2 linked regions of the Callithrix jacchus genome follow. The main gene of each other region encodes a partner of the protein of the gene in region 2 in a complex. Links are inferred from orthologs where the notes say so. Each region holds a gene or a part of one and is shown on either strand. Other genes may lie near its edges.

Evidence for each region. Proteins that work in one complex are often made in the same cells at the same time.
Region 1: the proteins of DBF4 (region 2) and CDC7 are in contact, whole or in part, in a crystal structure (PDB 6YA8), measured with the Homo sapiens proteins. The link is inferred for Callithrix jacchus from reciprocal best matches to the Homo sapiens genes DBF4 and CDC7. Residues at the interface, in NP_006707.1 of Homo sapiens: Thr210, Arg211, Thr212, Gly213, Arg214, Leu215, Lys217, Pro218, Phe219, Val220, Lys221, Val222, Glu223, Asp224, Met225, Ser226, Gln227, Leu228, Tyr229, Arg230, Pro231, Phe232, Tyr233, Leu234, Leu236, Met239, Pro240, Ile242, Asn243, Tyr244; in NP_001127891.1 of Homo sapiens: Asn56, Val57, Phe58, Ala77, Gln78, Leu79, Gln80, Ile87, Ile93, Pro94, Thr95, Ser96, His97, Pro98, Ile99, Arg100, Ile101, Ala102, Leu105, Gln106, Thr109, Lys121, Tyr122, Cys123, Phe124, Arg125, Asn127, Asp128, Val130, Leu143.

The regions. Positions count from the first base shown.
Region 1 is NC_133508.1:128,965,337-128,970,143, reverse strand, and holds part of CDC7 (cell division cycle 7-related protein kinase), read right to left. Parts: intron 2,887-4,807; coding exon 2,803-2,886; intron 2,494-2,802; coding exon 2,358-2,493; intron 1-2,357. UniProt on the Homo sapiens protein: Kinase involved in initiation of DNA replication. Phosphorylates critical substrates that regulate the G1/S phase transition and initiation of DNA replication, such as MCM proteins and CLASPIN.
Region 2 is NC_133512.1:61,833,811-61,838,610, forward strand, and holds part of DBF4 (protein DBF4 homolog A), read right to left. Parts: intron 1,963-4,800; coding exon 1,838-1,962; intron 1-1,837. UniProt on the Homo sapiens protein: Regulatory subunit for CDC7 which activates its kinase activity thereby playing a central role in DNA replication and cell proliferation. Required for progression of S phase.

The sequences.
Region 1 (4,807 bases), on a different chromosome or scaffold from region 2:
GGCAAGGAAGAAACTGAAGAAAAATGTAACACAGTGGAAGGTGAGCCTAAAGACAATTTGCCTGACTGCGTTGTCAGATCACAGGAAGGCATTTTTAGCATGTACTTTTTTGAAGCACAGAGAAAGAAAAAGTGGTAGAGGGAGAGAGTTAAAGTATGGAAAAAGGATTGATCACATTTAGGGTATAAGAACATATGCAAGCATTCTTTACAGAGGCCATTTCATTTTCTTGTCTTCTATAATATGCAGATGAAACAAACAGGGTTACTTATTCATTCAATATTGAGTGGGCACTGTTACTTGCTGTTAGGGGTGATAGACATTAGTGATACAATGGTGAATAAAATTTACACAATTTTTGGCCTCATGGAGTTTACTATCTAGTGACAATACAGATAATAACAAGGTAATTTATAATGACAGATTATGGTAAGGGCTTTGAAAGAAATCAAAAGACGATGTGACAACAACAAAAAAATAGGAGAATCTAACTTAATTCAGAGAAGACATCTTTCAAGCAGTGCTACTCTTTTTTTTCTCCTTAGAGATAAGGTCTCGTTTTGTTGACCAGGCTAGATGGAGTGCAGTAGTGTGATCACAGGTCGCTGCAGCCTCGAACTCCTGGGTGCAAGTGATCCTCCTACCTCAGCCTCCCGAGTAGCTGGGACTACAGGTGTGTGCCAGCATGCCTGGCTAACTTTTAAGTTTTTTGTACAGATGGGATCTTATTATGTTGCCCAGGCAGGTCTCAAGCTCCTAGCCTCAAATAATCCTTCCAAAGTGCTGGGATTACAAGCATGAGCTACTGCGCCTAGTTTCACTCTTGCTCAGATCAGAAGAGGAAAGGTCAGCAGGCAAAGACTGGGAGAAGTCTTCCCAAATGAGGAAACAGTCTGGGCAGTGGCCCTGAGGTAAGAAAGCTATTGAAACAAATCTGAGAAACTAGAGAAATGGAGCACAGTGAGGGAGGTGGGAAGATGGGCATAAGAAGGTTGAATTTTTTTTCAAACTACACATTGAAACACCATTGAAAGATTTTTAAGTGGTGGAATTAATGACCCAATTTAAGTTAGACACATAAGTATTTTATATTTGAAAGATCATTCTGGCTGCTGTGTGAAGACAGAATTAAGGGGAGAAAGAAGAAGCAGGCTACAGTAGTAGTCTACGCTTCAGCTGAGGTAGTGGCAGAGAAGATAGAAAGACATGGATGAAGTTCTAGATACATTTTAGAGGCAAAACAGCTAGGACTTAGTGATTAATGTGGTTTAGGAGAGAAACAGAGAAAATGAGGATGATTTCTAGGTTTCTGGCCTGAACAAGTGTGTAGATTGGGCCATCTGCAGAGACAGGTAGATAAAATATTTTCTGTGGTGGGTTTTTTTTTTGGCATGTTAAGGTTTAGTTTTAGCATATTAGGTTTGAGTATTTATCAGGCACCAAGTGGAAATGTTAAATAGGCAGGTGGATATATACAAACCTGTAGTTAAGATAAAAGGTCTGAGATTAACTATATACTTTTGGGAATCATTACTTTACACCAAGTGGAAATGGAGGACACTAAAGCGAATACAGAGAAACCCAAGAGCGAGCACGAGGAACTCCAACATGTAGGGGTCAGGTAGAAAGGGAAGAGCTGGCAGACATTGAAAATGAAAAGCCAAATGAGGGAAGAAGAAAGCAAGGAGGGTACGGCAGTACCAAAGTCAAAACAAGGGTTCAAGTCAATTGTGTTAAATGATGCTTAGAGTAATGGTTGACTCTATAGTTTCCAGTTTAGTATAGAGGAGAGCAGCCGCAATGAGTATTTAGTGAAAGGGAGGTGTGGAATGAAAACAATGTATGTAAATAATTTTTGAGAAGTCTGGCTATAAAGGGGAGCAAAGAAATGATGGAGCATGTGGAAGAAGGAGGGCAGTTTAGGAGGATGAGATACTAGATCATGTCCATATGTTGACAGAAATGACCTAGCAGAGAGAAACCATATCAGATGATTCTGTTATTCTAAATAAAGTATTAGATGAGGTTGTCAATAGCTGGGGAAATGTGAAATATGAGTTCCCTACATTTACAAAATAATGTAAATCATGAAAGCCAAGGTTTATGATTTAGCAGGAAGGTTACAAAAAGCAGTGATAAAAGACAGGAAATCAAGCTGAGCCTCAAGGGAAATCCAATCTGAAAGAAGTACTATAAATTTAACCATTGCGAGGTTAGAAAGAAAGTGCTAGCAAATTGCAAACACTTGACTGAAAAAGGCATTTAATTCACATATAATTTCATCATCCCTGCTAAGTATCTATTTTAAAATCTTATAAATTATATACAAGTTCAATTAAAATGTTTAAATTGCCTACCCAGCCACTGTTAGGCACTGAAGTTCGGCTGCAATTCTTATAGGATGACTTGTTGGAATCAAGTGTTTGAGAGCAATTTTCTCTTCAGGTCCTACTTGTAACTGTGCTGTGGCCAAATAAACAGAGCTGAAAGTGCCTGTAAAACAATTTATTAGATTTTCAATATCTGGTTTTTAAAAATGTTAATGAAACAATTCTAAGATAGATTGTAAAAACTGTTTCAATGGCATAATAGATTAAAACAGGACTTCATTTTACTGTAAATGTCTATTATTTATTCTTTCTTTGAGGTTGAAAAAGTTGTCATCATAATTGGTAATAAAACCATGGTCTTAATAATCTAAAAAGCGGTACATATTTTTAATAAGAAATAGTAACGAAAACCAAGATTACAAAAGGAAAACAGGAGGGAAAAAAACCTTGTAAAAATAGTAAAGCATATTACCTTCTCCAATTTTGTCCTTAATCTTAAACACATTACTAAGCTGTGGTACAGCTTCATAAAGCTTCTCAATATCTTTTTTAACACCTTTCAAGGAAACAAAAATTTAAAGTTTTAATCAATGACAGTATATTTTATAGTTTCTTAAAATTTAAAAAGCTCAATGAAATAAATTCTAAAACATGAATAATTAATTATAAATAAGTTTTAATAAAATTGTGATAAGATTAAACCCCTATCAAGTTGCTATAACTCACACACACACCTCTTGAACCAATAGACAAAAAGAATAGTCTCAGAATTAAATACACCAAATTTCTACTATACTGAAATTATATACTAATAAATACATTGTTACTGTATAAATTACACCACGATAAAGCAGCTAAATTTTTAAAATAACTAAACAATTTGTGCTGTGATCACTAGATGGCATGCCAAGGACACAATGTGATGCTCTTGAAAACTATTTCCCGTAAAGACAAAATCTTAAAAGCTTGGTGAAATTTTATGTTTTGAATATTCACACTATATTTTCAGAGAGAAGGCCTACTAAAGCTCTCAAGCATATAAAAAAAATTTTTTTTAATTTGTCCCAATTGCCAGTAGTATCCTTTATCCTTGACTGCAGATAAATTGCTACTTTTAAATAAATATCAGTTATTTATAAAAATGTACATGGTTAAAATAAGAGAGGCAATAATAAAGACCCAGTAAACGACGGGATACAGAAGAGAACTACCCAAGGGTCTTCAGATTTTATTACAGTACCTAGGCTTTACTAGCCCTACATTGCATAGGTTTAAGACATTTTCAAAGTACTTGCACAAGCATTATCTTTACAGATCTTCCCAATAGTACTGTGAACTTGGTGGAACAGGAATTATTATCCTGATTTTTCAGATAAGGAAACTCAACTTAGGGAGGTTAAATCATTTGCTCACTTTCACAGAGGTGTTGCTAATGTCTGCAGAACTCATTCTTTTATTTTTATTATATATATTTTCTAGTTTTCTTTTTTTTGAAACAGTCTTGCTGTGTCACCCAGGCTGGAGTGCAGTGACGTAATCTTCACTCACTGTAACCTCTGCCTCCCAGGTTCAAGAAATTCTCAGCCTCGTGAGCAGCTGAAATTACAGGCGTGTGCTACCACACCCGGCTAATTTTTGTATTTTTAGTAGAGACAGGGTTTTACCATGTTGGCCAGGCTAGTCTCAAACTCCTGACCTCAAGTGATCGGCCTACCTCAGGCTCCCAAAGTGATGGGATTACAGGCGTGAGCCACCGCACCTGGCCAGAAATCATTCATTTAAACACTGTTTTAAAAAATGCTCAGCAATGGGCATATTTAAAATACTAATAAATTTGGTGCAGCCATTAGTCCAGTAGAGGAAACATTCACTCTTAATACAAGGTGATACCTGTAATAAAAGAATGCATAATCTATTAGGTTGGGGAGGATTTCTGAAGGTGCTAGGAAGGCTTCAGTTGACAGCTAAGTTTTGTTCTGAACTATTAATCAAGCTGTGAAAGTGGAAGAAAACATTTTAGAAAAAATTAACTGTGTAAAGACAGGGAAAAAGAAAAAGAAAATAAGGCTTGGATGATTAGGGTGGGGGAGAGGGCTGAGAGACAATGACATACAATGTGGCCTGGGGTGGTAGCTCAGGCCTCTAATCTCAGCACTTTAGGAGACCAAAGGAAGAAGACTGCTTGAGGCCAGGTGTTTTGAGACCTATCTCTTAAAAAAAAAAAAATTAGCTGGGCTTTGTAATACATGCCTGTAGTCTCAGCTACTGAGACTGAGGCAGAAGGATACCTTGAGCCCAGGAGTTTGAGGCTACTAAAATATGATCGTGTCACTTTACTCCAGCCTGGGTGATAGGAGAGCAAAACCCGTATCAAAAATAATAGTAATAATAATAATAATAAATAAATAAAAGAAATAGAATGTGGCTGAGGAAGAGAAGAGCAGAGAATGCAAATGAAAGCTATACAAAGTTTTTAA
Region 2 (4,800 bases):
ATTATAATCATAAATGACTAGTTCAGAATTTTGCTACAGAGTTTTTAGAGAATTATACATTTTTGGAGTAGCCCATGTAATTTTGTTTTGTTTCGTTTTGTGAGAAAGAGTCTCTCTGTAACCCAGGCTAGAGTGCAGTGGCCTGATCTCAGCTCACTGCAACCTCCACTTCTCAGGTTCAAGTGATTTTTGTGCCTCAGACTCCTGAATAGCTGGGATTACAAGCATGTGTCACCACTAATTTTTTTTCAGTAGAAATGGGCTTTCACCATGATGGCCAGGCTGGTCTGGAACTCCTGGCTTCAAGTGATCTGCCTGCTTCAGCCTCTCAAAGCGCTGGGACTACAGGTGTGAGCCACCGCGCCCAGCCACAGCTCACATAGTTTTAATAGTTGGAAATATACCTCCTCTTCAAATCCATATTAAGTCAGTCATGAAACTATTCTGAATGTCACAGAAATTTGGGATTTAAGAACTCTTCTACCTGAAGTCAAAAAACTTTCTAGTTAATTTTCAGAAGCTGTATCTGGGTATCACATTTCTAATCTTCTTTATGCCTTAAGTAAGAGTACTCTAAAAATAAAGACTAACTTAATGAGTTATCACCACCTCTAGGGTATATTCATACAAAAGCATTTCTTTGTAAGTTTATGGGAATAATCTGATCAGGATAATTTTTGTCCACACACAGTCAGGGTACACTGGGCAGTACTGTATTCACACTTAAAAGTCCTGTCGGTATCTTCAGTAAATATACCCATCATAAGGGTTAGGTAAAGATATTTCGTGAAAGTATAAAGACCTAAGAGGCAAGTGGAGGAAGGTTTCTTAAAACTCCTTAATATTACCTAAAAGTTTGATAAAACTTTTTAGTCCGAATAAACGTTAAACTTTATGGTTCTATAACAGGAGTTGATGAACTATATAGTCTGTTGCCAAAATCTAGACTACAGTCTATTTTTCCAAATAAAATTGTATCAAAATACAGCCATATCCATTGTAAAATAAAGAAGCTAATTAGTTGCAACAGAGATCTTATGGCTCACAAAACCTAAAATATCAAATATCTGGCTCTTTATGGGAAAAGTCCATCAACTCCTTCTAAACTACAATGTCAAGAATGAGACTAATTAGTGGGGTGTAGTGGCATATGCCTGTAAACCCAATTACTCAAGAGGTTGAGACACGAGAATCTCTTGTACCTCAGAGGCAGAAGTTGCAGTGAGCCGAGAGAATGCAACAGCAGTCCAGCCTGGGTGATACAGCGAGACTCTGTCTCAAAATTAAACAAAAAATTTAAAAAAGAAAAAATTTTAGATAAAAAGAAAACTTAAAAACAATGGAAGTAAAAGTAGTCTAAGGTAAGCATCTTTGATAGTAGGGAAAAAGGGAAGGGAAGAAGTTACTGGTTTTTAACCATATTTACATCCTGAAAATACATATTCCTTCTAAGAACAGGCATACTGTGTTTATTTTTAGTTTAATAAAATAGTTTAATATTCTAGTATAATTTGTTTTATTTATGTATGTATTTATTTTTGAGATGGAGTCTCACTATCACCCAGGCTGGAGCACTGCAACCTCTACCTCCCAGATTCAAGGGATTATCCTGCCTCAGCCTCCCAAGTAGCTGGGATTACAGGTGTGCACCACCACACCCGGCTAATTTCTGTATTTTTTTTTTTTTTAAGTAGAGACAGGGTTTCGCCATGTTGGCCAGGCTGGTCTCCAACTCCTGACCTCAGGTGATCCTCCCAAAGTGCTGGGATTACAAGCATAAGCCACCACGCCCAGCCTTCTACTATAATTTAAAATTTAGGTTGATAGCACTAATTACCTTTTCTTTTTAGGTGTGTCCTTTTCATATTCCACAAAGTCAAAAACTAACTTAGATACAATATCATCAACAACTTGATACCGGTTACTCTGTGCAAAGTTTCTGTGTTGCTCACTTAGAAGGTGCTAAAACAAAATTAAAAACATGTATTAAAAAATTGTATTTTAAAACCAAGAGATGCCATTTTATTAAGGTTTTTTAACATTCTCATGCCCCTAAAATTAGGTTTCCAATAACTACTCCAAAGATAATATCTTTACTGACTTCAAAAGATGTTTAAAATAAAAGTCACTTCTGAGAAACCAGTAAAACTACTTTGGTTTTTAGTCTTCAGTGAGAAAAGACAAGTACTAATTTGTAGCTACAATGGAACTAAAAAGAATGAACTATGTCAGAAAACAAAAACACAGGTTGGGCACAGTGGCTCATGCCTGTAATCCCAGCACTTTGGGAGGCCGAGGCTAGCAAATCACCAGAGGTCAGGAGTTCAAGACCAGCTTGGCCAACATGGTGAAACCCCGCCTCTACTAAAAAAAAAAAAAAATCAGCCAGGTGTGGGGGGCACGTGCCTGTAGTACCAGCTACTCACAAGGCTGAGGCAGGGGAAACGCTTAAACCCTGGAGGCAGAGGTTGCAGTGAGCTGAGATGGCACCACTGCACTCTAGCCAGGGCAACAGAGTGAGACTCCATCTCAAAGAAAAAGGAAGATACAGATGGAGAGACACAACAGTAACATTTTGGAAAACACACTTCCCTCTATTACTTTGTCTTTAGGCAGTTACCACTAAGTAAGGCAGGACTTATAGAAAATTAATTACATATAAGTTAACATACAAGAATCCAGAAAGTAGATTAAACACAGGAACCACATTAAGTACTATGAAGTATTAAAAAAGCCAAGATTCATAATTAAAGAACACATTTGAAAATGAACAACAAAACAAATGATTTCAATTACCCAGTGCTCATAACAGAGTATACAGAAGTTATTCTCTTATTCTTAAGAACCAAAACTGCCAGGCGCGGTGGCTCACGCCTGTGATCCCAGCACTCTGGGAGGCCGAAAAGGGCAGATCACTTGAAGTCAAGAGTTTGAGACCCCAGCCTGGCCAACATGGTGAAATCCAGTCACTAATAAAAATACAAAAATTAGCCCATGCCTGTATTCCCAGCTACTGGGGGTGCTGAGGCAGGAGAACCTCTGGAACCTGGGAGGCAGAGGTTACAGTGAGCTGAGACTACACCACTGTACTCCAGCCTAGGTGAGAGAGCAAGACTCCATTTCAAAAAAAAAAAAAAAAAGGTAAAAAACAAAAGTAAACATGTTCACAGCATAGTGAGAGATAAAATTCATAGGAACAAAGTTCCTTTCGAATAGGTGGAATCTCCAGCCCAACTCTATCATTTGTCTATCAGCTGATCAGGGAATTGTACTTAGAAGCTTGCCTCCAGATGATCAGGAAAGATCTAATTTCTGTATCCCTAGTTTCATGCAGTTTTACATTTTGATGATTTGATTACAATTCTAAAAACATCTCCACTGGTCTCAAAAAAACACAATGCATCCTAGAACACCCATGTATTTCTTCCTTACTTGCAAGCTTTACCATACACAAATTATATATGCCCAGCAATAAAAATGAGCAATTATTTAAGTTTAAAAGGAAACATCACATTTGTAAGCTCTGATTCAGTCTACCAATGTTCTAGGAAGGAAAATTTCCAACTTTTATTTAGTTCCCTCTAATTTCCATTAAGTTCTTCTTATTCATCCTTAAAGTCTTAATTTAGAAGTCACTTGTGCTCAGTTGGGCCTTTTGGGACCCTCATTCTGCTTTAAGTAACCTCATTATTTATTCCCATTGCACTTCATACTTTACTTTTGTGACAGTCATCACATTTGCAAATTCGTATTTTCTATCTATGTACTTTGCCAGACCATAAGGTGTATAAGGGTAGGGATGTCACCTTATTTGTTACTTTATCTCCAGTATTCAAACGTATTTGTTAATTGAATCACTGTGAAACCTAACGTTCAAAAAAAATTTCTTTACTCTTGGCAGCTTAGAAACATACAAATGAAAACTGTAAAAACATGATCTTAAATTTCAATCCCAACCTCTGTGTTCACTAATTTTCCTTCTTTGTGGCAACCAGTGAACATTTTTTTTCATTTTTCAGCCTCGACATTTTCTGAGCACCAAATTAAGTATCCATTCCAGATTTTTTTTTTTTTTTTTTTGAGACGGAGTTTCGCTCTTGTTACCCAGGCTCGAGTGCAATGGCGCGATCTCGGCTCACCGCAACCTCCGCCTCCCGGGTTATTTTGTTGCTATACCAGCAAAGTAAAACTTCTGGACCAACACGTAATTTTAATTTTCAAAATGATTTTCAGGAAGGGAAAATATTTCTGAGATACTTTAGCTTCTGATTAAAAGCAATTTTAGACTAACTATAGTTTTCTCATTTATTACAAAAAAACAAAAACTACCACAAAACGCTAATATATTTTGGTTTATAAAACAAACTTCAATTCAGAGTCTGAAGACAGGTATGTTCAAGTATTATTCTTTCTCCTTAAGTTTCCCTCCATCTTTTACCAAAACCAAACCAAACACCAAAACAAACCTATCTACTACTTAAAAAATTCAAGTAACAGCTAACAATAAGCACTTACTATGTGCCAAACACTGTCCAAGGTCACATAGACAAGAAGCCAGCATTCAAACCTGGGCAGCTTGAATCCATAGGTGCTGCTCTTTTAATCAGTTTACAAACTATAGTATTTTCCCCATCCTCATCCTATATACTCTTTCCAACTCTTCCATTTCTTTCTCCTACCTCAATGAACTGTCTTTACTTCTTTCAACTCCTCTTCTCATTATAAATGAGGCTTTTTAAAAAATTGCTCAGGTTCAAAATCCTATAGTAACCATTGGACTACCATTTTCCCTTGCTTGCA